Sus scrofa: one gene and its partners. The protein of the gene in region 2 interacts with the protein of the main gene of each other region in a pairwise test. Links are inferred from orthologs where the notes say so. Each region holds a gene or a part of one and is shown on either strand. Other genes may lie near its edges. The genes, in order: RIC8A, NUTM1, MORN4, ZNF277, SAMD4A, ZMYND10 and FAM161A.

What was found.
Region 1: the proteins of NUTM1 (region 2) and RIC8A interact in binary tests that used the Homo sapiens proteins (3 or more experiments, as listed by UniProt). The link is inferred for Sus scrofa from reciprocal best matches to the Homo sapiens genes NUTM1 and RIC8A.
Region 3: the proteins of NUTM1 (region 2) and MORN4 interact in binary tests that used the Homo sapiens proteins (3 or more experiments, as listed by UniProt). The two-hybrid records come from large-scale screens. The link is inferred for Sus scrofa from reciprocal best matches to the Homo sapiens genes NUTM1 and MORN4.
Region 4: the proteins of NUTM1 (region 2) and ZNF277 interact in a two-hybrid assay, tested with the Homo sapiens proteins (2 studies listed by BioGRID). The two-hybrid records come from large-scale screens. The link is inferred for Sus scrofa from reciprocal best matches to the Homo sapiens genes NUTM1 and ZNF277.
Region 5: the proteins of NUTM1 (region 2) and SAMD4A interact in binary tests that used the Homo sapiens proteins (3 or more experiments, as listed by UniProt). The two-hybrid records come from large-scale screens. The link is inferred for Sus scrofa from reciprocal best matches to the Homo sapiens genes NUTM1 and SAMD4A.
Region 6: the proteins of NUTM1 (region 2) and ZMYND10 interact in binary tests that used the Homo sapiens proteins (3 or more experiments, as listed by UniProt). The two-hybrid records come from large-scale screens. The link is inferred for Sus scrofa from reciprocal best matches to the Homo sapiens genes NUTM1 and ZMYND10.
Region 7: the proteins of NUTM1 (region 2) and FAM161A interact in binary tests that used the Homo sapiens proteins (3 or more experiments, as listed by UniProt). The two-hybrid records come from large-scale screens. The link is inferred for Sus scrofa from reciprocal best matches to the Homo sapiens genes NUTM1 and FAM161A.

The regions. Positions count from the first base shown.
Region 1 is NC_010444.4:30,767-34,970, reverse strand, and holds the start of RIC8A (synembryn-A), read right to left. Parts: upstream 2,801-4,204; 5' UTR 2,678-2,800; coding exon 2,594-2,677; intron 2,319-2,593; coding exon 2,271-2,318; intron 2,185-2,270; coding exon 1,594-2,184; intron 1,116-1,593; coding exon 1,024-1,115; intron 552-1,023; coding exon 401-551; intron 1-400.
Region 2 is NC_010449.5:80,149,498-80,152,997, forward strand, and holds the end of NUTM1 (NUT family member 1), read right to left. Parts: exon of another isoform or gene 3,344-3,500; coding exon 3,060-3,343; exon of another isoform or gene 2,794-3,059; coding exon 2,677-2,793; exon of another isoform or gene 2,331-2,676; coding exon 354-2,330; 3' UTR 267-353; downstream 1-266. UniProt on the Homo sapiens protein: Plays a role in the regulation of proliferation. Regulates TERT expression by modulating SP1 binding to TERT promoter binding sites.
Region 3 is NC_010456.5:108,996,811-109,001,060, reverse strand, and holds the start of MORN4 (MORN repeat-containing protein 4), read left to right. Parts: upstream 1-1,450; 5' UTR 1,451-1,605; intron 1,606-1,624; exon of another isoform or gene 1,625-1,809; intron 1,810-1,989; 5' UTR 1,990-2,069; coding exon 2,070-2,082; intron 2,083-4,250. UniProt on the Homo sapiens protein: Plays a role in promoting axonal degeneration following neuronal injury by toxic insult or trauma.
Region 4 is NC_010460.4:33,315,107-33,318,606, forward strand, and holds part of ZNF277 (zinc finger protein 277), read right to left. Parts: intron 2,823-3,500; coding exon 2,726-2,822; intron 580-2,725; coding exon 537-579; intron 1-536. UniProt on the Homo sapiens protein: Probable transcription factor. Involved in modulation of cellular senescence; represses transcription of the tumor suppressor gene INK4A/ARF, perhaps acting via the Polycomb group (PcG) complex PRC1.
Region 5 is NC_010443.5:184,107,337-184,110,836, reverse strand, and holds part of SAMD4A (protein Smaug homolog 1), read right to left. Parts: intron 2,240-3,500; coding exon 1,906-2,239; intron 1-1,905. UniProt on the Homo sapiens protein: Acts as a translational repressor of SRE-containing messengers.
Region 6 is NC_010455.5:32,827,238-32,831,180, forward strand, and holds the start of ZMYND10 (zinc finger MYND domain-containing protein 10), read right to left. Parts: upstream 2,801-3,943; 5' UTR 2,615-2,800; coding exon 2,523-2,614; intron 2,251-2,522; coding exon 2,142-2,250; intron 1,223-2,141; coding exon 1,106-1,222; intron 980-1,105; coding exon 926-979; intron 807-925; coding exon 669-806; intron 558-668; coding exon 469-557; intron 379-468; coding exon 278-378; intron 1-277. Other genes in the region: NPRL2 (nitrogen permease regulator 2-like protein), read right to left, coding at 3,808-3,875. UniProt on the Homo sapiens protein: Plays a role in axonemal structure organization and motility. Involved in axonemal pre-assembly of inner and outer dynein arms (IDA and ODA, respectively) for proper axoneme building for cilia motility.
Region 7 is NC_010445.4:79,966,198-79,969,697, reverse strand, and holds part of FAM161A (protein FAM161A), read right to left. Parts: coding exon 2,794-3,500; intron 2,459-2,793; coding exon 2,291-2,458; intron 218-2,290; coding exon 118-217; intron 1-117. UniProt on the Homo sapiens protein: Involved in ciliogenesis.

The DNA of each region.
Region 1 (4,204 bases), on a different chromosome or scaffold from region 2:
AGCCTCTGCCTGGAAGATCCTGTGGGTCCCTTTAGAGAGACCAAAGGACAGCCGCTGCTCATCACCAAGAGCTGCTTGTGTAGAGCGACACTGCGAGTCTAGCATCACAAGCAGGGACCAGCGGCTTCTTGGTCCCCCTCAAGAAGATCCACAAAGAGACCTAAAAACAAATACTTTGCTAGTCTCTGAAAACCTGCTTCTGTTTGTATCAAAAAGTCTGCCTACATTTCAAGGAGGACATTCTGGCTTCCTGCCTGGCTGGACCTTGGAGCAGCTGGAGGCATTGCCTGAATCCCACTGGGGAGCTGATCTCCCCTTACCAGTGCAGACTGCACAAAAGCAGCGCCCACAGCTGCCTGGGAAAGCCTGGGCCAGAGCCATAGCAGGGCCTCCTGCCCACCTGGTGCAGACGCTTCTCCAGGAAACTGAGGAGGGCATGAATCACATCCATGTTCACTCCCAGGAACTCCAGGGAGCCTTCGTGTGGCTCCAGGGTGAGAAGGACATCCAGACACTTGAGGGGCAAGTTCCCCAGGAGGTTCACTGTGTGGCTGGGGACACATGGAAAGGAGGGCTGGGTAAACCCAGGCCCCCAGCACAGGCGCAACTCTTGTTGCCCCCTGCTGGGATCACACATGACCCGAACCAGTATCAGGGGCCTGAGTAGCACCAAGTACCAGAGCAGAGGGAGGCCCTCCTTGCAGACATCCCACCTCCCACACACCTGGGTCGAAACAACAGGTAGTCCAAATTGGGACCCGCCCAGGCATAGGTCACAGAAAATGAAAGTGACAACCACACTGCTCTATGGATACCACAGTGTTCAAGGTCCAGTGGCACATTCTGTCCTGAGCTCACAATTCTTGTCCTAGCTGTGTGTTCTAAGTGCTGCAGCTCTGTGGAAACACACCAATGCCTGGTCCCACCCAGTTGGATGAAAACTCTCTCTTTAGGGCTGGAAACCACCATATAGACCTGAGAGCAGACGCCCGCCCCGGTGTGCCCAACAGGCACCACCCTCACCCGTGGAACTCCTCTGTGCGGTCTCCAGCAGCAGTGACCATCACACAGTGCCGCAGCAGGGTCCCCAGGTGCCGGTAAAGTGCAGTGTCTTCCTGACCAAAGAGAAAGGGGTGCCTGTGAGAGAAAGTGCCACTCACCCCCACTGCTGCCTGCTGAACATCTACTGCCTGGCCCACGGCCAGACCTCATGCAGGCCATGCATCTCCTCCACCACACCTGGCTGCTCAGCCTCACTTATGTGACCTTAAGAGCACTCTCGTGGTTAGGGACATCAACAGGTCCCTTTGGGATGAAGTCACTCTGTGCTCTCGCCCCCCGCCCCCCGAAGAATCTCCTACAGCCTGCCCCCACACCACACAGCACTCCTGGTGTTGCAAGAGCCAGATACGCGCTCTGATTCCTCGATGCCCTTATACGGAACGGGCACCTCCCTGCCTCCTCCTGACAAGCGCTGCTGTGCAGATGTCCTCCTGGTCCGACACCCAGAAACTTGAGGGTACCTGGCAGAGAGGCAGGTCCCGGAAGCATCCTAGTTGTTAAGCCCAACCGAAGGCTGAGGCCAGCCCTCACCTCATCCACCTCCCTCTTGATGGAGTCGAAGGTGATGTTGAAAAGCACTTTGAGGATCTCCATGGCCCGTTCGGTCTCCTGGGAAGGAAGGAGTTCCGGGGGTCCCTCTCCAGGGGTCATTCCCAGCGTCAGCTCCAGTGCCTCGGTCAGCAGGTGCACTCCCTGCAGCTCCTCAAACAGCTGCCTGCGCACATCAGTGCGAAGCGCCGTTAGCAAGAAGAGGAGGCGCAAGTCAAAGAACTGGACGTCATGCGGGAAGCTGCTCTGGCGGTACAGTCTCACTCGCTCTGCGAGCCTCACCACTAGCCCCGCCTCTGCGGCGAGCACCTGTGCCACGGAGCTGCTCAGCACGAGGTTGCACAGGCACTTAAGGGACTCGAGCACAACATCCATGTCCAGAGTCTCAGGACACGACCCCTTCGAAGCAGAGATGCCAGCATAGCAGGCAAGCGCTTGCAGGCTCTGGCGGCTGGTGAACGAGTCCAGGCAGCTGCGGTCCCTCGACAGGATGCGGATGCTCTGCAGCCAGATGACTCGGCGGGAAGGTGACAAGCCCTGCTCCAGGACTGAGACCAGCAGCTCCGCCAGTCTCTGTGGGCAGGGGAATAGAGCGGTTCCATCAGGCTCCTCTACCTGGGCCACCCGTCCCTGCCCCTTTACCCTTGATAAGCACCCACCTTCCTGTCCTCCTGTTGGGCATCGTCAAACGTGAAGCTCTGGGAGTTCTGCAAACAGACCCAGAAGATTAGGAGGCACAGGTCCACCGAAGCAGAATCCGAGCTCCAAGGCCGCAGACACCGCTCTCAATAGACAGGGCTCCCTTTCCCCACGGCACCCCCAGCAACTCTTCAAAGACTCGGTGCCCCTCCCCGCCGTGCTCGCCAACACCCTCAGCCTTCCGCCACGCTCACCACTCACACCCTCCCCGCCGGCCACGCGCGCGGGACCCACCCAGCCCCACCTCCTCCCTGCGCGTCCCACGTCCATAGCTCCCGCTCACCTCCCGGTTGTAGGCGCGCAGAGCCTCCATAACCACGTCCTCCTCCCCCGTCTCTATAGCATCCACTACCGCCCGAGGCTCCATGGCGCTCCCGGGACCCCGGCCCGAGGAAGCGGAAGGTACCTCGCTCCAAGGCTCTGGGCCCCAGACGGCCCGCCCGGCCCTAGCTCGGCGCGCGGGGGAGGCCGGGAAGGGGCGTGCGCGGCGCCGCGCGGGCGGGGGCCCGGGCTGCGCGCGGCGCCGCGCGGGGCGGGGGCCCGGGCTGCGCGCGGCGCCGCGCGGGGCGGGGGCCCGGGCTGCGCGCGGCGCCGCGCGGGGCGGGGGCCCGGGCTGCGCGCGGCGCCGCGCGGGGCGGGGGCCCGGGCTGCGCGCGGCGCCGCGCGGGGCGGGGGCCCGGGCTGCGCGCGCCTTAAAGTGGAGAGGCCTAGAAGAGCCCTCGGGAATTTAAAGGCTTTGATGTCTAGTCACGTTGCCTTTCAGTGTCCGACTCAGTGGTTATCCGACCACGGGCCTGAATCGCTCCGGCTCCGAGCAGTGAATTCCCTACGGGAGAGGGCCTTAGCTTCTCACCCCGCTATTACACGCACACTACACCCCTCTTGATGTACAGAACGAATGAGATGTTCCGAGGAAAGACGAAGTGGAAAGGACTTTGCAGCCCCGGGACCACTTTGTTTATTAAGCAGGCGTTTGAGGGCCTACAGCATGCAAGGAACCAGGATGTGGGTGAACAGAACCCACAGGTCCTTGCCTTCGTGGAGCTTATATTGCAGAGGTGAAAACAAAAACGGGAAAACGGGAAGACTTTAAGCAGTCATAGTGCTGTGATTGAAAAAGGGGCCTGATGGGCTCCAAGGGGATTTGAATAAGTGTCGCTTTTGCTGAGACCAGAGGAAGAAGTGAGCCAGGAAGGGATGTGGGGGAAGTTCATTCAAGGCCGAAGGAGCCGGCAGAGTAAAGGTGGGAATGGCCGTTGTAGGAGAAAGAGATCATTGTTGGGGCTGAGAGACAGGGGAGAGTGGGGAGGGAAGGTCCAGGTCAGGATGAAGGCAAAGCCTGATCATGTGCAGGGACTTCCTGGCTGTGTAAGCAGACACATCTTCTGGCCTGGACCCAGTTCCCTCTTTTGAAAAGCAGAGATGATAAAAGGTCCCATTTCGGTGGGTTGTCAGCACTAAACGACACAGAGTGAATGCTCCATTACAGTGGGTGAATAACATATACTCCACCCACTGCGCAACAAGCCTTTGTTGAGCATCTATTTTGTGCCAGACCCCTTGTCAGTGCCCGGGTGCAAGGTCGCAGCACCGGCTCCTCCTGCCCCTAACTCCCCTCACGCTCCCACTCTTCTTCCTGATTTCCCGTTTTCCTTCAAGTGCTTCATCCCTGAGATTTTTGCAGCGCTCGCTTGTTCCAGGCACTGATCCCCTCTTTATCCCGCCGGCAGCATCTGGAGCGTGCTTCACACCGAGTCCTCGCCTTAACCGCACCGCAGCCGGGCGGGCCTCGGACCCCGGGCCGTGTCGCCGCGAGGAGCCTCTCTCGCCTGAGAAAGGGCCGTGAGCTCTTTCCAGTTAGGATTTGACACCGCCTTCGGCAGGAATGGCCGCG
Region 2 (3,500 bases):
GGCTGAAGGCTGGGAAGGCTTCTGGATACATCTAGTCCAAGGCTACCTCACCTCCTTTCTTCTCGGCATCTTATCGCATCTAGCAGCGAAGACATGAGTACAAAAGGGCACATTGAGAACATTTTCCAACAACAAAATCTTTTATTCATGTTAGCTTTTTCTCCATACAACTTGCAAAGGTAACTTTCCCTGGACCGCTCACCATGGGCACCACCTCCAGCCTAGCCCTGTGCCCTCCCTCCCCACGCTCACCACTTTGGCAGAACCAGAAAACAACAAAGGGCTGAGAACAAGTGTCTATTGGGGCTAGTCTCCAGGGGATAGGCAGGTGGAACAGGTGGTCCTGCTGCTCCCTACTGGCTGCGACGTCGTTTCTTCCTCCTGCCAGTCACAAAGCTATCCCTTCTTCTCTTACGAGGCTGTGAGGCTCGAGCTGCTCCCAGAGCCTGGGGCTTCTCCCCAGGTGCCCCAAGTTCAGCTCCAGGGAAGGGCCTCTTTTCAGCAGGCACCAAGCTTCCAACTAGAGCTCGCTTCCCAGGCTTGGCGACAGGATGGGGAGCCTGGCCGATGCCCCTTGGCTCAGGAGCAAGGGAGTACGATGCTCTCTGGGTCCCCCGGCCCCCTGAGTCAGGGCGAGGACTGCCAGGAGGTGCCCTGGGCAAGAGGCTCAGTTTAGAGGCCAAGAGGTAGGCAAAGTTGGAGAGTTCTTCATCTTCCTCCACCCCTTTCTCCTTCGCTCTGGCCCCATCTGCTGAACTGCACGTCTCAGTGACAGGAGCTGCTTCTCTCAGAACTAAGGTGTCCCTGCTTCCCCACATAGGGAGAGTGTCTCGAAGGCCCTGGTGAGGGGATGTTGATTTGGGGGCCCCGTGTGCATTAGACCCTTGACCTCCTGGCAAGGGAGCAAGGTCTTTAGGCTCAGATAAGTCAGTATCATCTCTGCCCTCTCCTTGGGGGTCACGAGAATTAAAACTTAGTGTGCAGGTAACCTCCCTGACCCTAAGCTGGAGGCCACGGCCATCTTTCACATCTAGTATGCTGACATGTTCTGTGGCTTCCAGCAGAGAAGAAATGGAATTGCCTCTGCTTCCTGCCTCAGGGCTGGCCTCAGGGAAGGAGTTATCTTGGGTCCCCAGGAGAAGGATACTGCCTTGATTTGCAGGCAGGAGGGTTTCTCTGGAAGCCCCCATTCTCCTTTCTAACAGTGGAAGGCAAACTTCAGCCCACATATCACTGGAATCCTGTATGGTTTTGGGGCTCTGTTCTTTGTTTTCTTTAGGCCTTGAGGCTGAGCTGTTGGCCCTCAGAGATTCTGACAAGCTGCAGTAGTTTATCTCCTCGAGGGCAGTTGTGGTGTCTGTGCCTCCACAGGGAACTATACTGCTTCCCACATCCCCAGGTGCTGTGCTTTCTCCAGGACCCAGAGAAATGTTGCTTCTGGAGCCCAGTGCCTGGCAGTTCCCCTGGCACTCAGTTACACATTCCCCATCATGAAATGCCTCTATGACCTCCTCGATTTGTAAGGGCAACTCCAAGCCTATTGCATCCATCTCATTGCTCAGCCAAAGCCCTGGACTGAGAGAGGCCCTGTCCCTGTCCTCGGCTGCCCTGGGGGAAGGGTTCTGATCATAACTCTGAGCTGCGGGAGGACCTCTGTCATCTGCCCACTTGGTCCCTGAAGACCCTTCCTGGGGCCCTGCTAACTGCTCCTTCCCCTGAGGAACTACTCCAAGATCCCCTATCTGTTGTCCTGTTTGCAGCACCAGAGCCTGCTTTGCTAACTCCTGTCCTTGCAGAGGAGCCAGCCCTGCAAGTCCAGCATCCATACTGGGAACTAGCTCAAGCTGGGGCCCTTCCTGCCAGCAAAGGGGCAGAGCCTCAGAAGTCCCTTCAGCCACCAGGGAGTGCCCAGGGGATCCGGCACCTCCCAGATGGGCATCCTGATGGGGGAGTATGGGGTTTGTAACCTTCCCAGATCGTCTCTTCATACCCAGGGGCCCTTGAGTTCCCTGTGGAGCTGCAAGTTCTAGCTGCAGGTCCCAGCCACGGGGGGATGGCAGAGTGTTCCCATTCTTGCTCGTCCCCCTCAGACCATCTAGGGCCCACTCCTGCCCACCAGGCACTTCTCTTGCCCTCTTCCCTGGAAAAGCAGCCTTTTCAAGGCAAATGGTGCCCCCAGCCACCCGAGGCCCAGGTGAGGGCCGAAGCCGCCCACCCCCCACTTCATCCTCATCAGAAACAGAAGGACTTGAGTCCGATTGGGCTCCACTGCAACTTGGAGGTGCCTCTGCCTCCTCCTCTTCCAAGGCCAGGAGCCGCTTCTGGACCAGCTAGAAGGAGAGTGGACGGATACTGTTCTAAATGTGGTAGTGAAAAGGGGAGGCTGGCTGACGGTGTGAGAAGGAGATGGTTCTTGGGCAGGGTAGGGAATGCAAACAAGTGGCTTAAGTGAGAGTATCAAAGCCAGATACCATAGCTCTTTTAACACATTCTTGGGTCTTATTCCCATGCTTTGAGCCCTCACTCTCCCCTTTTCCGTGGTCCCTTGCCTACTTGTTGGGCACCCAAAGCTGAATGCTGAAACTGTCATCCCCAGAAGCCATACCATCCAAGGCAACATAGGGCCGGATAAAGTCATGCGAGCTTCTTGTCCTGATTCTCTGCCTCCAGGCTTACCTGGGAAAAACTGAGTCCTTCTTCTTGCTCCAGCTCCTCAATTAAGGCCAATGGATCCCTCTGTTGTTCTGGGGACAGCAGATCTGCCAAAAATCGAGGGTGAATGACAGCCTCCACCTGGGGAACGGAAGGAGAAGTGATGTGAGTCCTTAACAGGAGGTCCGAACCAGGAGGCTCTAGAAAAGCTATGTACCCCCCCCCCCACTCACACCCTTTCCCTGGGTTGTTATGAACCATCAGCTACACACATTCATATATGCACACAGGTTCCTCAGCATGGGAAAGAGTAGTTCCTAACTGCCTGGGTCAGAAGCCAAGATCTTTGGTTCCCTGGGGTTCCCACCCCAGATCTACTAGAAAACAGGTGCCCAGGCCCAGCCCACCTTGGAGACAAACACCTCCTGAGAACAGAGCTCATCAATGTACGTCAGGAGGCCTGCGTCTGGATACATCCCTTCCTCCCGCTGCTGCTCTTGCTCTTCCTGTTTTCCATCTGACTCCTCGGTGGCGGCGTGACTCCCCACCAGCCCATCCATGATGTCGGCATACTCCTTCACAGCTTCTTCTGGGATCTCCTTGGGTGCCTCCACAGCCGGAGGCCTCTGGGCTTTGCGCTGCCGCCTGCGGGGAGCCCGTGCCTTGGACGCAGCCTTCTTGGGAATGTACACTGAGGGTCAAGGAGGGAAGGAGACATGGGGAGTGGCACGGAGACCACGGCTTCTGCCTCTCACCCCCATTTGTAAGGGCAGCAGCCTGGATCAGGTTAAAGACTGGTTACAGACTGGATCAGGCAAACCTGACAGTACCAGCTGTGGGAGAACATA
Region 3 (4,250 bases), on a different chromosome or scaffold from region 2:
GAGCACTTAGAATGTGAGATACAGTACTGAGCATTTTGTATTGTATTTTCATACAAGTGTCAGGGAGACTATGTCATTATTACTATTAACATCCTATTCTGGGAGTTCCCATTGTGGCTCATCGGGTTTATGAACCCTGGACGAGTATCCACGAGGATGTGGGTTTGATTCCTGGCCTTGCTCAGTGGGTTAAGGCTCTGGCATGGCTGTGACTGTGAGCTGTGGCCTAGGTCGAAGTTGAGGCTGGGATCATGCGTTGCTGTAGCATAGGCTGGCAGCTACAGCTCCGATTGGATCCCTAGCCTGGGAACTTCCATATGCTGCAGGTGCAGCCCTTAAAAAAGCAAAAAACAAAACAAAACAAAAAACCCTATTCGACAGACTAGGAAATCCCAATTCAGCAAAATAATTTGCTTACTCTCTTTGTAGGCTTGTCTTCTCTTAAAAATTAATTATAGGAGTTCCCGTTGTGGATCAGCAGAAACGAATCCGACTAGGATCCATGGATGTAGGTTTGAACCCTGGCCTCTCTCAGTGAGTCTGGGGTTCAGTGTTGCAGGTGAATTGTGGTGAGGGTCCAGAAGTGGCTCGGATCCGGCATTACTGTGCCTACAGCGTAGGCTGGCAGCTGCAGCTCTGATTCCACCCCTCGCCTGAAAACTTCCATATGCCACCGGTGCAGCTCTAAAAAAACAAAAAAACAAAACAAAACACCACAATTAATTATTGTCTTGAATTTTTCCGTGTGCATGAATATTTTCTTCTCCATAGCTAGGCAGTAAATCCTAGGAGAGCGGTAATCATTTCTATTCCAGCCTGGCAGGACCTGGCATCACGCTGCATTCGCATTGCTCGGTAAGTAAACATATGGATAAACCGGTTGGTGTGCATGGTTATTGGGAGGATTTGCTCCAATCTTGGAGCAAACTGTATTTTAAATACAAAGGATATGAGTAATGACACCACCACCATAAATCCCTATAATGAGTGCAAAAAAAAGTGCCCTGATATCACAGTGCTGGCACAGGGTTGACACTCATTAAACTGTAGTTGCCCCGTCTTGCGCTTTACAGTTTACAAAACTGCACCTCAAAAGCCGATTTGGGGTTCTGTCCTTCAGCTCCGCGGAGGTGCCATTAACAACTGTGCAGATCTAAGTGGGATCCGAGCCGCTGGAGTTGGTCACTGTTACGTCCGACACAGGTCTGGTTTTGTTTGGTTGGGGGTTAACATTTCGGCTAGGGTGCCTCTAGGCAGGCAAGACCTGAGTTCTATGGGTGGATGAGGTGGGACCTTAGGTCAGCCCCACCCTTCTTTAGGATGTTCCGCCAGGGGCTCCCTAGACACTCCGCCCCACACAAAGATGGCGCGGAGCCCGGGCTGGACCAATGGAAAGTGGCGTTGCTCCCAGTTGCCTAGGTAACAGCCAATGGGCCGCGGGAATTGTGCTCGGTGCGGCTGCAGGGGATGGCGGCGTCAAGTCGGGCGGGCACTGGAGGTGGTGGCGGAGAGGCAGGTGGCAGGGGCGAGCCCGGCGGAGCGGAGGTCCGGGCCTCTGGAGCCCCGCGTCGGGGCGAGACGGTCATCCCGGAAGGTTGAGCCCAGGTTGGCTGGCCGCGCGGGTGGGAGGGAGTCAGGGGAATGTGGTCGGGGAGGAAGGCACTGAGGGGCCCATCCTGAGATGACAGCGGCTGTGAAGCGCGGCTCCATCCTGGAGTGGGGGCGGTGGCTCTTCGAGGGTCCCAAACCTGGGCCTCCCGTCTCCACCGCGGGGTCCGAGGCCCGAGAGAGCCCACGGCGTCCAGGATGGTGAGTGGGGTAGGTGGGGGCTATATGAGGAGGGGATGCCATACCTGTGTGAGTGGAAGACCCCGCCCGCACGGGAGTGCTGACCCAGGGTGGAGAGAAGGAGCGGCGCTGGAAGGCAAGAACCGGATGGGAGAAGAAATGGGGAGGTGGACGGGGAATTGTTGCCTTGTTGCAATCTAGGGCTTTGTTGGCTCCGGCCCGCCTCTGTCACACTCTGGTGGAGAGACGTCCCCAACACACGTCGAGGCTTGGAAAATGGGATGCTTCAATCAGGTAGTTGATGGTGCTATCCCTACTGTCTGGCAACTCCAAATTGTTTTGGTACCAGCGGGAGTCATTCGGCTCTGTTAGAACCCGGCCCAGGCATTTTACTTTCTCATGAAATAGAATAGTGTCTATTCTACTGTCCCGGCAGTCCTTCTCATCCAAAGACGTCTGGGGTTTTTTATTTGGTTTGTTTTGTTTTGACCTTTCTGTTGTCAGGATTTTCTTCCCACTTTCTTCCATCAAACTGTCCCACTGTATTCCCGCTGACTTTTATCTAGTGGCCATACATTTGTTTACTTTTCCAGTCCAAGGAAGAATGAGTGAAAGAGACTCACAGACTCATAACAAGGACAGTTATTTTAGGCTCACTTAAAATACTTTAAAAAGAACACTTGACCTCTTGTTCTGGGTTCCTTACAAGCCTGATCTTTGTTCATTAAAGCCTTCAGTTTCTTCTTTTTAGGATTCTAAAAGCCTAAGAGCTTTTATAATTGAAAGAACTTTGACAAGATTGTCATACCCTGAGGAGGGTGGCTTTAAGGGGACACTGTGAAGGTATATGTAGATAGTAGATGCCTCCAAAAAATATTCTTAAATTGAAAATCTTTTCCCCTTTATGTTAGGTTTTTTAATCCTCTGAATTTGGAAACAGGTTACCGGGAATGCATAAATGTTTTTTAACCAGTTTGATTTCTGAAATAAAAAAAAAAAAGGCAAATGGAATGAAAACAAAAGGTCTCTTTACTGTCTTTGAGTTCTATTTGGAAATGTCTGGGGCAGGAGAACATAAAGATGGTATGGATATAGTCTGTTGTGTAGACTGATAGTGTGTTGGCTTACAGGGATAAAATAGTTATTTTCTTTTAGATAAATGTTTGGATTGATCCTTTGCAATCTGTCTATCAAGAGAGAGAAAGGGTGGACATCTGTCTAGAAGCATGAATTGTCTTGGCTTTGTAACTAGATTCCACATGTATATCTGAAGCCTAAACTCCTAGGCCATCTCTTCTCTTTGAAAAAAAAAAGGTGTTTTTTGTTGTTGTTGTTCTTTTTTTTACTGCACCAGCGGCATGCAAAAGTTCCAGGGCTAGGGATCAAACCAGTGCCACAGTAGCCACCTGAACCATGGCAGTGGTGTGTTGCTGGATCCCCAACCCACCGAGCCAGTAGGGAACTCCTTTGAAAAGATTTTTTGAGTGGCTGATAAAAATACTGACTTGCATCCCTTATTCAATTACTGGGTTTTTAAAAAATCTTCATCAGCACAGCTACATATATATATATATATATATATATATATAGTCTTTTTGCCTTTTCTAGGGCCGCTTCTGCAGCATATGGAGGTTCCCAGGCTAGGAGTTGAATTGGAGCTGTAGCCACTGGCCTACACCAGAGCCACAGCAACGTGGGATCCGAGCCGCATCTGCAACCCACACCACAGCTCACAGCAACACCGGATCCTTAACCCACTGAGCAAGGGCAGGGATCGAACCTGCAACCTCATGGTTCCTAGTCGGAGTTGTTAACCACTGCGCCATGAAGGGAACTCCACAGCTATACTTTTTTAAACTAGATTTGTCTTAGTGATCATGGTTACTAATGAAGTTCTTTTTTTGGGTCAGTGGCTACACAGCTATTAATTAGCATGGCTAATTACAAAAGTCATAAATGAAAACCCTGACGCTGTCTCAGGCAATGCCAATATCAATTATTTGGACGCACATTGACGTTTCTAGTCTAATGTGTTCCACCGAGGCCTGAGACCCATGGAGTATACATGTGTTTCCTTTCATTAGCACATCTGATTGTGCTCTTGGGAATGGATATCATTTTGACAAGCAAGTGTTGAAGTTTTTGTTTTGTTTGTTTTGTTTTTTGTCTTTTTTTTTAGGGCCGCACCTGCGGCATATGGAGGTTCCCAGGGAAGGGGTCTATTCAGAGCCGTAGCCACCGGCCTACTCCAGAGCCACAGCAACGCCAGGTCTTAGCTGCATCTTGGACCTACACCACAACTCACGGCAATGCTGGATTCTTAACCCACTGAGGGAGGCCAGGGATTGAATGTGCACCTTCATGGTTCCTAGTTGGATTCATTTCCGCTGCACCACGACAGGAACTCCGCAAGTGTTGAAGTTTGCTGTATTTCCCTGGAACAAAAAGAAATGGGAATTTGC
Region 4 (3,500 bases), on a different chromosome or scaffold from region 2:
AGACACATTAGCAAGTCAGTACTTTTCGTCTTCATGCCTCTAATCTATCATAGTGATCCAGCTGGTTTAATATATAATAAACACTCTAGCTACACTACCAAGCCGTGCAGTAGGTTTTTTATATATATATTATCCACTCTCTGTAATATTCTGTTGACCTGAGGCCCAACATCACACAGCCAGTAAGTGCTGAAGCTGGAATATGCACTCTTGTCTCACTTCAAAATCCATGTCTTTTCCACTAGCTCCCCCCCCACTTTATCATATATATTAATCATTAACTTGTATTTTATTTGAAGCAATCAGATATGTAGGAAAGAAGAAGAAATACTATATGAAATAAAAAACCACATTTAAAAATTGTAGTTTAAAAGGGCTGTGAATCAGTGGTTCAGGCAGTTCTGCAGAGACCATCTGTGGAGAGACACATTTTGGCTGTGTGCTCTCCAGTCATGACTGTGGAACACAGGCACTGTTATGGGATGGTGTATAGAAAAATGCAGCATCATGGAAAACAACTTCCAAATCAGACTTACCAAGTTCTGACTTTATTTTGAGAAGATCAAATTCATGTGCATCCTAAAAAAAGGAATGAATATATCTGTGAGCATATAAATTATTTAATCTTTCAGGCTGAATTTATAAACAGACAGCTCATTCACAGGAGTTTGAACACTGTAGAAACTCAGTCTCAGATCATCTGCTTTTGAAGTCTTCGAAATTTAACTGCTTCCCCCTACATCCAACTGCTTTTTAAAGCACAGTCTAAACAAGTCATGTCAATCAGTTAAAACATTTTAATTGTTCACAGCTTCTATCTACAGTTTTTACAATTTACTCTGTATGCATTCTGCAGTCTGACAAAAGTGTCTCAGTCTCTATGTAAGATGTGGCCCTACTGTGTTGTGTCTGGACTAGATTTATGAATACAGGCCCTTTGCTCCACAAGCAGATAGGTAATTTTTAAAATTATGCTTTTTGTCTTATGCTGTCAAATACAGTGTTTAAACCCGTAAGTTTCTCTTCACTCATATCTTCCCACAAATTACATGTGATTTGATTGTTATGATGTCCAGACTTACTTTTATTCTGTTCCATTCCTGCAATTGTCCACATGGGTAAATGTTTCAACTTACAAACTTACAGAGCATACATAAACACCATCTAACTCCCTGTGAAGGCATTCAGTATAGCACCATAGGCAGCATAATTAAGAATTCCATGATCTTATCACTGAAAGTGACTGAGAAGAGGCTGACACCAGTCAAGGATGCTGCAAAGGGAATTCTTATACAGGATAGGGGTACTAAGGCTCCTTTCCTTTCGAAGATACAAGGTTATTATGAACTGCATTCATAATACACACATACTAGTGGCAACCTGTTTCAGACAAACTGATTCTCTGCTTTCACAAGGAAATGCCCACAGCCCTTTAAACATCTTCCAGGTCCTTGTTTACTGAACTAAGAACAGTGTTTATGGATAAGAATGGAGTGAAGTGGGTGGACCTGGAGCCTCCGCTCCACTACTGCAGAACTGAGTGGGGGAGGGGTACATCAGAATCATCTGGTAATATTTTTCTTTTTTTTTTTTTTTTTTGTCTTTTGTCTTTTTGTCTTTTGTTGTTGTTGTTGTTGTTGTTGCTATTTCTTGGGCCGCTCCGGCGGCATATGGAGGTTCCCAGGCTAGGGGTCCAATCGGAGCTGTAGCCACCGGCCTACGCCAGAGCCACAGCAACGCAGGATCCGAGCCGCGTCTGCAACCTACACCACAGCTCACGGCAACGCCGGATCGTTAACCCACTGAGCAAGGGCAGGGATCGAACCCGCAACCTCATGGTTCCTAGTCAGATTTGTTAACCACTAAGCCACGACAGGAACTCCTGGTAATATTTTTCTATCACACTCAACTCTACTCTCAACGTAATAGGAAGATAGCGTCTAGAAGGAAAGGCACAAACTGGAAATGTCCTCAAATTTCTTCTCTCCAGATCCTTGTAGTTGAAGGAGCTGCAAGACCACATCCTATACCCTCTCCACCTCCATGCTTCCCCCACCCCCATTTCCCCCAAGGGCTTTGCAAATGACAACGTTCTCTCTCGCCCAGACCTCCGTATTCACTGGAAAAAGATTCCTGGGTACTGTTAATGGTGGCTGCAGATCCCACCTCTAAGCTAGAACTATCTCATTAGCATCTCAAAGGTGGGAAGGCCTCAGCGGTTTGTGAAATCCCGAACAGTTCACCCAGGTCCGGTCAACTGTACTGAAGGCCATTTGCTCTGGTTCTCCTTTTTGGACCCTCCCTGTCTCTTCTGTTTTGCTTATAGCACAATCAGAAGGAGAAAATGTTTGGGGGAGTTCCCGTCGTGGCGCAGTGGTTGACGAATCCAACTAGGAACCATGAGGTTGCGGGTTTGGTCCCTGCCCTCGCTCAGTGGGTTAACGATCCGGCGTTGCCGCGAGCTGTGGTGTGGGTTGCAGACGCGGCTCGGATCCCGCGTTGCTGTGGCTCTGGCGTAGGCTGGCAGCCACGGCTCCAATTCGACCCCTAGCCTGGGAACCTCCATGTGCCGCGGGAGCGGCCCAAAGAAATAGCAAAAAGACAAAATAAATAAATAAATAAATAAAATGTTTGGAAAACTAAAGGTATAAAATGTTGAGTTTGCAGTCATTATCAGCTTGTCCCTGTCAGAACACAACAAAATCAAATGAATAAAATATCTTACCTTCATGTGGACACATAACTTCTCAATTGTTTCTGCTTGCTTTTCACAAAACAGGCAGACAGCAGAGATAGGGTGTTCCTCCCAATCAGACCAGTCACTGTGTTAAAAAGAAAACAGCAAACATGGAGATTCCCTTCATTTAGGAGGCGTCTTGCACAGTGACTTAGTATTTCTTCCCCCTAGGAAACCCCACCAGTCTCTTTCAATTCTGGTATTTTGTATATCATATTATGACTTTTTGATACAGCTTTTGAAATTCAAAGCAGCACCATGAAATTAATATAAACAGCAAACAGGTGCAGCCATATCTTCTTATATGTGCCTCTCTATCTGAGCAGCTATTTCACTGCAGAATCAGCTCAATGTCTTTCTGAGACAAGCAGCTTAATTTGCAGAGGAGCCATGTCAGTGGATGTGATGCTCTCTCTCATTAACCACAGCACTAAGTGCCGCTTGCTGTGAGGTGCAGTGCTGGGAGTGGGTTTCTGCATGACAAAGGGTGTATTTTTAAAAGGCAAGCTGTGTATCTTCCATGGGGAAATACTGATCGTTTTAAATGGGGCAAGTGTTAAATTTCACGGTAGACGGAGAAATCAAAAGACATACAGGGCCCTTTTTTATTATTTCCCCCCTCCTTGCATTTATTTTTTGAGATACTGTCAACCTCTTGTCATTCCTAAACAAGGAAAATCAAAATCCCAGGAGAGACAAGAGGCTGGACATCTTTCAATAAAAAGAGGATAAATAACAGGGAATCCTTTTAGGCTGAAAACAC
Region 5 (3,500 bases), on a different chromosome or scaffold from region 2:
AATATTTTGAGAGGTATGTATGACTGCAGCTTTACGTCAGGTTCACAAAAAAGGCCAGGAGGCTCTTCATTCCACTGAAGTCAAAGGCTTGGTCACTGCAGGAGCCCTCGCCTTCGGAAGCCCCTTTGGTTAATTCCACGCATACCATTCTATATTAAGCCTTCTGCAACCCGGCTGAGACAGACACTCTGGGAGAGGAAGAACGCAGCAGTGTTCCGAGCTCTGTCTTTGCAAGGGGCTCCTTTGGAGAGGGAGTTCAAAGGCCTTAAAGACCATCAGTCCTTATCAGAGAGCTGTCGCTGTGACTTTATGAATGAGCCGTCTCACTTGGAAGAGCGAGGCGGCACATCGTTTAGGGCGTGAGGTTTCGTGGGCAGGACCATGAGCAGGGAGCCTGCTGCTCCGTCATCGAGGGTGACTTTCTCAAAAACAATGCACTCATTTACACCTGCATAGGTTCACCTACCCACTCAGATGAGTTCTCACAAAGCCAGAGCAGAGCTCGTCTGTGGGCAGAGGACACACCCCCACAGCGAGCCCATGGCCACACTAGTGCAGCCCATTCTCTTCTCACCCCAGAGCTCCTGATGCTCTGATTTTGATGGGAATGTTTAGAAGGCCAGGTGGAGACTGCTGGACAAAGATGTCAATTAGAAGTCAAAATGCCTCACCATCAGGCAGGCCAAGCTTAGGATTACTGTCCCTAATCCTGCAAAACCAATCTGTCCCAGAATCCTATTTATACTATGTCTTGGCACCTAAATTTCCAGTATAGCATTGTTGAACCAATATATATATGTTTCAGTATAGCATTTCTCCAGCACAACAAAACATGGAAACCACCTCTGAGGTGTCCATTTGTGGGGACCCCTATTAAATTACGGTTTATGCACACAGGGGAAGAGTATGCAGCCTGTAAGGAAGAATGAGTTGGAATGTTTGTATTAATAGAAATACTGAAAGCATATAATGTAAAAAAAGAAAGTTGCAAAGAAATATTTAAACGAGACTTGTTAGTGTGTAACAAGGATGTTTCTGAGGGGGTATTCTGAACCTTTTATCATGGTTACCTCTTAGTAAGAAGACAGCAGGGCCTAGGAGACAATGGGTACTATTTTTTTTTTACCTTTTACCATTTTAGTTAGCTCTGATTTTTTTTTTTTTAAGGATGAACATGAATTCATATTATAATTTATTTGATTTCTATAGATTTAAGTCTTTTTATGGACATGTATCACAGGGAGTTTTTCACTGCCTCTGTACAACTCAGGTATCTTTTTTTGTTTGTTTGTTTAGAACCCAGTTCCTTAAAATGATCTGAAACCCTGGACACCAGAAAAGACAAAAATTGTTTCCCCTTCCCAAAGGAAAATTACTGGCGTTCAGCACATGTTTTTAACTAATCAAGATTTCTTGTGAAGCTTTCATCCTCATCCGGCACAAATTATTCTAGTGTCAGACATGGTCAAGGATACCTCCATGAGGGTCTGACACAGGGCAGGCACAGGCAAAAAGGGGCTCTTACCCAAGAACCACGTGGGAATTCTAGGCTGCCCTGTAGACACACAGCGTGGCCATGGTAACTTGTGTGGGCCGTGGGCAGGCTGCCTTTAGCCTGAGGGTCCAATGGCCCAGTGAGCACTCCACCAGGAGGGCCCAGCAGACCCTGGTCTGAAGGAGTGGGACAGAAGGGAGCCAGGATTAAGGAGGAGGGTTCAGGGGTCAGAGAGCTCCGAATTCAGATGTAAATGCCTTAACTTCTCTGAGCCACACTTTCCTCATCTCTAAAATGGGCTACTGACATGTTGTACCCTGGCAGATCACCCAGCACCCAGGGGAAGCCCCTTGGGAACTGGTAGCTCTGGTCAGTGGTGCTGAGAGGCTGGAAGATCGGGCTCTACCTACCTTTCCCCATGACACGTGTGAACTGCCCGGGGAGGTCCCCCTCTGGCAGGGGGGTGACAGCCAGCTCCCCATCACAAGTGCTCAGCTGGTGCGGCTGGAGCCCGCCGCTGGCCCCGGCCGAGGCAGTGGCAGTGGCTCCGGCGGCCGTGGCACTGTCTTTGCAGTCAGGGCTCTGGCTCTCCGGGCCCATGAGCGAAGGCGGGTGTGGGGCCTGGGGCTCCCGGCGGCGAGCCTCGGGAGTGGTGGTCGGGGAGCTGTAGGCCTTGATGGGAGTCAGGATCATCTGGTGCAGCTCCTGGAGCGGGGTGCGCAGGTTGCCGCCTTCGATGATGTCCTGGGTGGTCAGAGGGAAGAGGACCTCCGTTAGGGTCAGGATCCAGGTGGCCCACTCCAGCCTCCCTTCCTCTGCCGGAGCTGTCCCCAGACAGGGCCCACGGCTGCTGACCCCTTCATTAGAACGTTCTCTCAAGAGTGAGCATTTAAAATTTATCACTCTAATGTTAGCCCAGGTAGAAAACTGGGAAATACACACAGGTAGAGGTAGCGAGGAAAATACATCACCTGAAGATCTCACTACTCAGAGATGATCACTGAAATGATTTGGGTGCGTTTCCTTCCCTGGCTTCCTCAGTGCCTTTCTTAAAAATGCATTTTTATAGTTTACATTCACACATTATGGAAGCTGGATAACAAAGTTATACAGGGTCACATGGTGGTTTTCTGTCCTGTATGTGATGTGGTTTAGATGAAGGAACCTGATCATTCACGCCCTCACTCAGCCCATGACACAGGCAACACAGGCAGTGGGTAAAAACACAGACTCTAGGACAGATGCCTGGGTTTGACTTCTGACACTGCTGTGTGGCTTTGGGTAAATGACTTAACCCCTCTGTGCCTCAGTTTCCCTGTGGATGACAGGAAGATAACCGCAGGACCTGCCTCATAGAGGTGGTTGTGATGATGTTCCTATTTGCAAAGCTGAAGGTTTCTGTATCATGCGCTTCTTTGCTACATTAATAAGTATGTTTTGGGTGCTCTGCCCAGCTGCCCCCCGGACTAGGTATGGGGATGTGGCTGGAAAGCCATTAGGGTTCCCTCAGGGAGGGTGCATCCTAGCACAAGATGAATATTCACCTTGAGGCCCAGGTCAGGGCTGTGGGAGGGGAGGCTAGCTGAGGGGCGACATTGGAGCTGGAACTCAACTGAGCATGGGCTGCAGGCTCCTGGGAAAGCATGCTCCAGATAGAGGGCACCATGAGGGCAAAGTCACTGAGGTGGGTACATGCCTGGAATGAGGGAGCAACAGCAAAGGGGGTGTGGGGGGGTAGGGTAGAGGAGGGGAGAGAAGGGGAAATGAGAGCCAGGAGCAAGGAGGCCTGCATTAGGAGTCAGCAGGGAGGCCAGAAATTCTTCTTCAAGAAGTGAGAGGTCAGGGAGCAGGGGAGTGACATGTTTTAGAAGGATCATTATAGAGAGAAGAACGTATAATAGAATATGTGTGCCACACAGGTACACCTTGGAGATAATGCCGATTTGGTTCCAGACCACTGCAATAAATCCATGATCTCAGTAAACCGAGTCACACACATTTTTTG
Region 6 (3,943 bases), on a different chromosome or scaffold from region 2:
CCACTAAGTGAGGCCAGGGATTGCACCTGCATCCTCATGGATACTATGTTCGGTTCTTTACCCTCTGAGCCACAACGGAAACTCTGAAAATGCCAGATTTTTAACTGCTAGGCCACTAGGGAACTCCCTAGGCCCACTTTAGGTGAGGCATTCTGGTATTCTCTGTGGGCAAGGGGGCAGAGTTTGTCTGCTTGTGTGCAAGCTGCCCCCCTGTCAATCCTGGAGGATGTCCTGGAAGCAGTGGGCTGGGGCTTAGGCAGATGGAAGAGGACCTTACCTCCTTCCTGCCGGCTCCAGGGACTATGCTCCAGCAATTCCACCAGGAGACAGGGTAGGTTGTGGGTGCTGAGCATGCGGCTCAAGGTGCTCAGGGAAAGGCTAGGGACAGAGATAGAAAGGTAAGGAGAAACTACAAGCCCAGGCTCCCAGCCCTCCATTTCAGGCCCCAGACCTGGTAGGGCTGCCCACCTGTCCACACAGTCTGTAATGTAGCGCAGCACCGAGAGGGCCTTCAGTGCAATCTCAAATTCCATCAGCTCTGCCTGCTTTTGTAGTTCCTGAGTTGGGGGGTGGGACACACGGCGTTCAAGGTGGGCCATCTTCTTGCCTGCTTAGACCTGGGGGAGCCTGGGTCTAGCCCTTGCCAATCCTAGGGAACCTCAGCCCACCTGCATGGGGGTGCTGTACTGGGACTCCTCTTCCTCTGAGGGGCCATCATGGCCACAATGGGCCACCAACAAAGTTAGTTTGCGGTGGCAGTAGTCCACAAGGTCCAAGACAGTGTCCTCTGCTGATTCACACACCTCCTGGGGGTCAGGAGGAGGGGAACATTCTGTCTCTGATGCCCTTCCCACACAGATACAACCCCCCTTGCTGCCAGGCTCTGGCCTGGGGCAGTAGCCAGTGGGCAGGGCGGGTGCCTCACCTTGTGGAAGAACACTGTCTCCAGGAGGTTGATGATGGAGGCTTCGTGGTGTATCTGTCAGTTAAAGAGGAGAACAGGACCCTGGGCTGCTGGAAGAGGGATAGGGGCTACCAGCTTCCTTCTCTAGTCTGGGTCCCTCTGAGGGGCTGAACAGGGGTATGAACCAATGGCCCAGCTCACCACCATGTATATGGGAAAAGTATTCTGGGGCTTGAAGTCCTCCAGCTTGCACAGCACAGGGAACACCTTCTGCTTCCACATCTCCACTGCAATCAGCTCCTCCACCAGCGTGGGGATCTTTGGGGTGAGGGGGTTAATACAGGGATGAGACGGGCCTGCCTTGGCCTGGCAACTTTCCTGTTCCTGGCTCAGCCCAGCCCAGCTCTTGTCAAACTCCCCTGGGCCCGTAGACTCTCACACACCCCACAAATTCCTTCCCGACCTCTCTTCTGCACCTTAGCGCTCCATTTCTAGCTGCCCCCAGTATCTCTGTGAGGGCATCTGGTGTCTTATGACTGGCCCTTGCCTTGTCCCCAGGATGCCAAGCTCCCCCTGCATCTAAGCCCTTATCCCCTCCTTCTCTATTCAGGTGTACCTCTCAGCTCATGCCCTCCTGCTCATGCCTTCCCTCTTGTCCTTGTCCTCTGGCCTCACTGCTTTTCTGTGCCTTGGCCTCACTCTTACTCAGCATCCCCCTCACAGTGCCCTATTCCTAGCCTCCCCCTGCCCCCAGTAGAAGTTTTCCTTGCAGAGGAACCTTGCTGTCAGGTGCTATCTCAGGTCATTTACTGTACCATCACCTGGCACATGTTCCAGCTGAGCCAATCTCTGGTTTCTAACTCCCTCTCTCGTTTTGGGAAGGTTGCCTCCTTCCATGCCAAAGTCTCACCCTCACTTCAGTGGGGACCTCCTCCAGTCTGTCAGTCTATTCAGGAAAGGCTTTAGAACTTGGGACCTCTCCCTACAGCCTAGGGTGTTCTAGGATCCAGGACTATCTCCCTAATCAACCCACGCCCTCTACCCTGCCTGGCATGCTAGGGTCCTGTCCCATAGGGCTGTAAAATCAAATTGTAATAATACACTATTCCTTCTCCTTTAGGGAGGACAGGTGTGCCAGCCAGAGGGAAGCACAGGCACCCAAGTTACCCCTGAGGTGTAGAGTGGTGGGGTGGGTGGTGGTGAGAAGGCAGGAACCCTGTCTGTGATTCCAGCATACCTTCCCATGGGTGACAAGGAGCTCCTGGATGGGTTCGCCCTGGCTAGCGGTGGCATCAAGGATGGCCTGCATGTTCAGTTTCTCCAGATTCTCATGCTGCTGGTTCCATCTGCCCCACAGAGGGTGTGTGTGCATGTGGATGCACGTGTGTGCAGTGGGGGTGGGGGCTGGGTTCTGTTGAAGCCTAACCCCGATCCTGAGGCGTCCGATGTAGCGCAGGACCATATACGCCCCCGCCCCCTCAGTCTCTAAGAGCTTTACCTCCCCACCTGGGGGCCCTTCCACGCTGGGCAACCCCTCCCCCCAAGGTCAGGGCTACCCTCTCCCACTCAAAGACTCTGACCCCATGACTCCGCCTGCCCCAGGATCCAGCTGCCTCACCCTCCGGAGCCCATCTCGCGGATCTGGAAGCTGCGCAGTCCCCGCACTAGTACGTCAGCCTCCCCGGGCAACAGTAGCTCCAGGTCGCCCATGTCGGCGGCCCAAGGTTACAGAGGGCAGGAAGGCGGGGTCCAGCTGACAGCGGGCAACAGCCGGCTCTGAGGTAGGGGTGCTGACACTCTGGGGGACCACGGTCTCCGGCGGGGCCCAAGTCTGGGATCCTGCAGTTGCGGAGCGGTTGGGAAGTGTGCGTCTTTGCAGCCATGGAAACCGTTAGCACGGCGCATGCGCAATGCGGCCTAGGCCCCGCCCCCGCCTGCAGTGTTTCGGGGTAGGGTGGCAACCCTCCACTTTGCCTTACAGCCGGCTGCGGCTCACGGGTCCCTAATTCCCAGTCTTGTGGCCTAGGCTCCCTCCTTGGATGGACATCAGGTCGGCCGGACCTCATCAGCTCTCCCTGCCGCTGGTCTGTGGCCTCATTGCAGTAATCTCTCGTGTCCAGCTCCACTACCCGCGAAATACTGCGCAGGGCTCACTTCTCTCCATCCTAGTCCAGGCTGCCATCACCTCTCATGAGGTAACTACTATGGCTTTTTTACTGAACCACTTCCACTCTTGACCTTTCCTGAGTAGCTAGTCTTTTAAAGACGTACATGGTGAGTCTGGCTGCCCCTGGCCGTCAAAATATTATGTCAAAGGCAGTTTACCAACAGCTCTGCAGAATCAGGCTCTTGCCCCCTCTGCTACCTTGGGCCTTCGTTTCTTGCCCCTTTTGCTTTTTATGTTCCAGCCCCATGGGCCTCCCTTAACTTCCTCATACATCCCAAAGTGGCTTTTGCTTCAGGGCTTTTGCAGTGTTACTTCTGCCTGAAATACTTTTCCTCCTTCGGGGTTCAGTTTAAGTCAGTTCAGCCAGGCCTTCCTTGCCCCTCTAATCCAGAGCAGCCCCAGCACCCGTCCCCACTCAACTTTTCATCTCCTCTTCCTCAGTTTATAATTAGTAGGCACTTTCACATGCCCATTATCGATCCTGACCACCAGATGGCGTTCCAGGGCGCCAGGGCGATGGTCATCTCCTTCACTGATAGTTGCCACTTCTCTCTGGTGGCTGCCTCAGAGTCGGTACTCAATAATGGTAAGTTGAAATACATTACTTTATTTACAGAAATGGGGGTCAACCTTGAGACCGTATGGCCTAGTTTGCTGCTCTATTCCTCATGCACCAGGCAGGGCTTAGCTGGAGAGAGCAGCCATAGCCGTGTGCCTAGTTTAGCTCCCATCAGCCTCACTTCCAGCAGATGATGATGTTGGGGTCGTTTTCCAGCCGTTCATCCAGCTCTTGGTAGCTCATGCCTGGGTGGTGTAGTGGAGGAAAGGTCAGCGGCCTTGGCTTGGCCACCCTGCCCTAATCCTACCTCAGC
Region 7 (3,500 bases), on a different chromosome or scaffold from region 2:
ATAATGTCTCGGTAAATTATATAATACATAGGAGAATGGACTATAAAAATTAGGAGCTAGAGATGTTTTAAAAAAAAAAAAAGTTGACAATAGCTCTTAAATTCCAACAAACACAACCTGAGCAACTCTTTCAAATAGCAGCGGCCTGTTTTTTAATTTTTCTTCTCTTTCTTCTAGTTCTTGCCGATATTCTCTCATCCTTTCCTTTTCACTCTTTCTAAAATCAAATAAAAGGAATGGAATTTTTAAAAGAAATAAGAACTTGCACACATAACATTTAGCTTAGATGAAAAATCAGAAATTATGAGCACAGTTTATCATAATTTCTTTTCTAGACTGGTAAATGTTTATGGAATGCAGAATAAAAATCCTACATTCTCAGAGCATGTATTTTTTTTTATTCCAGGAACAGTTTGGGTACTTTGAAGTTTCTGAAATTTTCAAAACATAATGTATTAAGGGGCTTCAAACTACCCTGAGGAGATAAATGAATGCCCTCTATTTCATTTATAAGTATATAAAACCAAGAAAACTTAGTCTAAATTAGATATATTTTCTTTAAGGAATTTCTTCTGAAAACAGGACCTCGCTCTCTTGTTTTTCCCTAAATGAGATCGCCTATAGGTTGGTGGCAAAGTTAAATAATTAAATGGGAGCAGGGCAGCAGAGAAGTGGGGATTATGGGAGTACAACTTATAGAGGAACAGGAACCAAGATACATCAATTCACAGTAAGTGCACTTTTACAACAAGATCCTATAATGAATTAAATTACACTATTTTTCTCTTTGTAAAATATACTAACTCCACCAAGATCATAAGACTTCATGGATTAATAAAAATAATTCTACAATAAAGTAATAATTATGCCTAATTTTTAGTATTATGGAAAATGCAATTTACTTTCTAAGCATGAATAAGTAAATATTTCTAAAGAATATCTTTCTTGGAGTTCCCATTGTGGCTCAGCAGAAACAAATTTGACTAGTAACCATGAGGACACAGGTTTGATCCCTGGCCTCACTCAGTGGGTTGAGGATCTGGTGTTGCTGTGAGCTGTGGTATAGGTCGCAGACACGGCTCAGATCTGGCATTGCTGTGGCTGTGGTGAAGGCCAGCACTATAGCCCCCATTCGACCCCTAGCCTGGAAACCTCCCTATACTGTGGGTGTGGCCCTAAAAAAAAAAAAAAGAATATTTTGCTCAGGAGTTCCCATCGTGGCTCAGCGGAAATGAATCCAACTAGGAACCATCAGGTTGTGGGTTCAATCCCTGGCCCCACTCAGTGGGTTAAGGATCCAGTGTTGCTGTGACCTGTGGCATAGGCTGGCAGCTACACCTCCAATTAGACCCCTAGCTTGGGAACCTCCATATGCCTCTGGTGCGGCCCTAAAAAAACAAAAAGACCAAAAAACAAACAAACAAACAAAAAACAAATATTTTGCTCAAGTTCATCAAATCAAGCTCCTTTTGTCAATGAATTACATTGATATACGTTATAAGAAATATATACATAATATACATTATAAAGGAATATAATTACTATATATAATATACATTTAAGAAAGAATACTCATAATTTAAAACAAATATAGATTTGTGGGGTACTTATAAATCATACCAAAAATTAATACATCATATTACTTACCCAGCTTTGGGGGAGATATTTTCCTACTTAAATATGAACATTTTTATGCTGCAACATAAAAATGTTCCTCTGGAGCACTGATTTTCAAACTTTGTACTGTAGAATTCCAATATGTAACACATACCCCTAAACATTAACACATGTCAACTGACCCATCACATAACTGTGAATTAACATCAGTGTGTTAATTTGTGCTATCAGATTTTGGGCAGAACTTAGAACAAAGCTCTCTGACATATCTTTGTATGGACGAATATTCTGAGATTACATGGCAAGCTGTTAAAAAAAAGAGAGAGAGCTCTGTGTGAATCAAGATTTTTCTCAGTACCGTACTGTGCAATAATAATATAATGAAAAGGTTTAGACGCTGATAGAAGATTACAACCATGAACTATGGCCACAATATAAAATGTTCATCAACATGGCATCATGGTCCTCACCATGGGGTGAGTATACATGTTGTTCTTACCATGAAGGAAAGGAGTGAGGGTGAGTGTGTAAGTTAACTCTAAGTAACTGATGGTAACTTGGATCCAGAAACTGAAATACTAACACTATGCTTAATCTGTTCACATATTGGGTCCACTGATTAAAAAAAGTTTGAAAACCAATGATCTGGAGGGTCAGGACTCTCTCGTGATACCTGAGAGATTTTACTCTGGATTTAGACATCTGAGCTAGACTTTGATGTGAGTCATAAGCCTTAGCCCGGGTTGTCAGAAGTTTCTGCAATTCTTTCATTCTTTGCTTCTGCTTAGTTAGGATCCGATTTCTCTCTTCTTCCAACATTTTCTTTTCCTCAAGTGATCTCCTGAGGGCAACAAACTAAGGCTTAATTCACTTTAAGCCAATGAGAATGTTGTTTAGCAAAGATTTAACACAGGATAATTCAAAGGTTGAAAAAAAGGGGCAACCTTTTGAGAAGGATCTGACTTGTAAAATTAGAAATCAATAGGCTGACTATAACCATTTCTATTCCCAAAGATTCATAAAATGGAAAATATATCACTTCTTAGAAGAACACCCTTTGGCAAATGTTCTATATTACACAGTAAAGTATGTTACCAGATATAATAACTTCACATTTTCGAATTCCACGTACAAAAGCAATAGCAACCATGAATCAGTACCGCATCGCTTATTTACCTTGTGGCTTGCTCTCTTCCCCTAGAGGACACTGTGGGCATTGGAGGGTTGTAGCTACAAGATGCAGGCTTTGCATTCATACTTCTTACTGGTGATTTGTGCCTTGGAGAAAGATAAGGCCAACGTGTTTCTTTTAAATTTTCTTCATCTGCTTCAATGTCTGCCAGAATTTTCTCTCTTTTAGTGGAGGCATGTGAGGCTGTATGAAGGTCAGACGGTTCACAGACTGTTAGGAGTTTGGGACATTTCTGTTCCGAGTGGTATTTCTGATATCCCTCAGGAAGGTCTTCAGAGTCAGCAGTCTGGCACCTAACTTTGTGTTTATACTTTGACCTTTCAGCCTGTTCAGGACACCTGGGCTTCCTTGCAGCAAAACTTCTGCGAGCTGGACTGCAAGGCAGAGGGGATGAATTTTGTAATAACTCTTGGGCTCTCCGCTGTGTCCTAATGTTTCTATAAAACTCATCTTCTGTTAACTTGTCTTTGACAGTTGAACCATAAGTAGATAGAGGGACAGGTCTGGCTTTGAATCGATTTGTTTTCTTTTTAGACTTAAAAAAGTCTTTTAGCTGCTTTTCACGAATTGCTTGCTTCTGTTCCTCTCTTGCCATAAACTTAAACGGCCTTTGTGAGGCCAAAAGAGCTTCTTTGTATTTCTCCCTCATAGACCTCCTCCGTTCCTCATTTTGCTTGACTACATCATGATA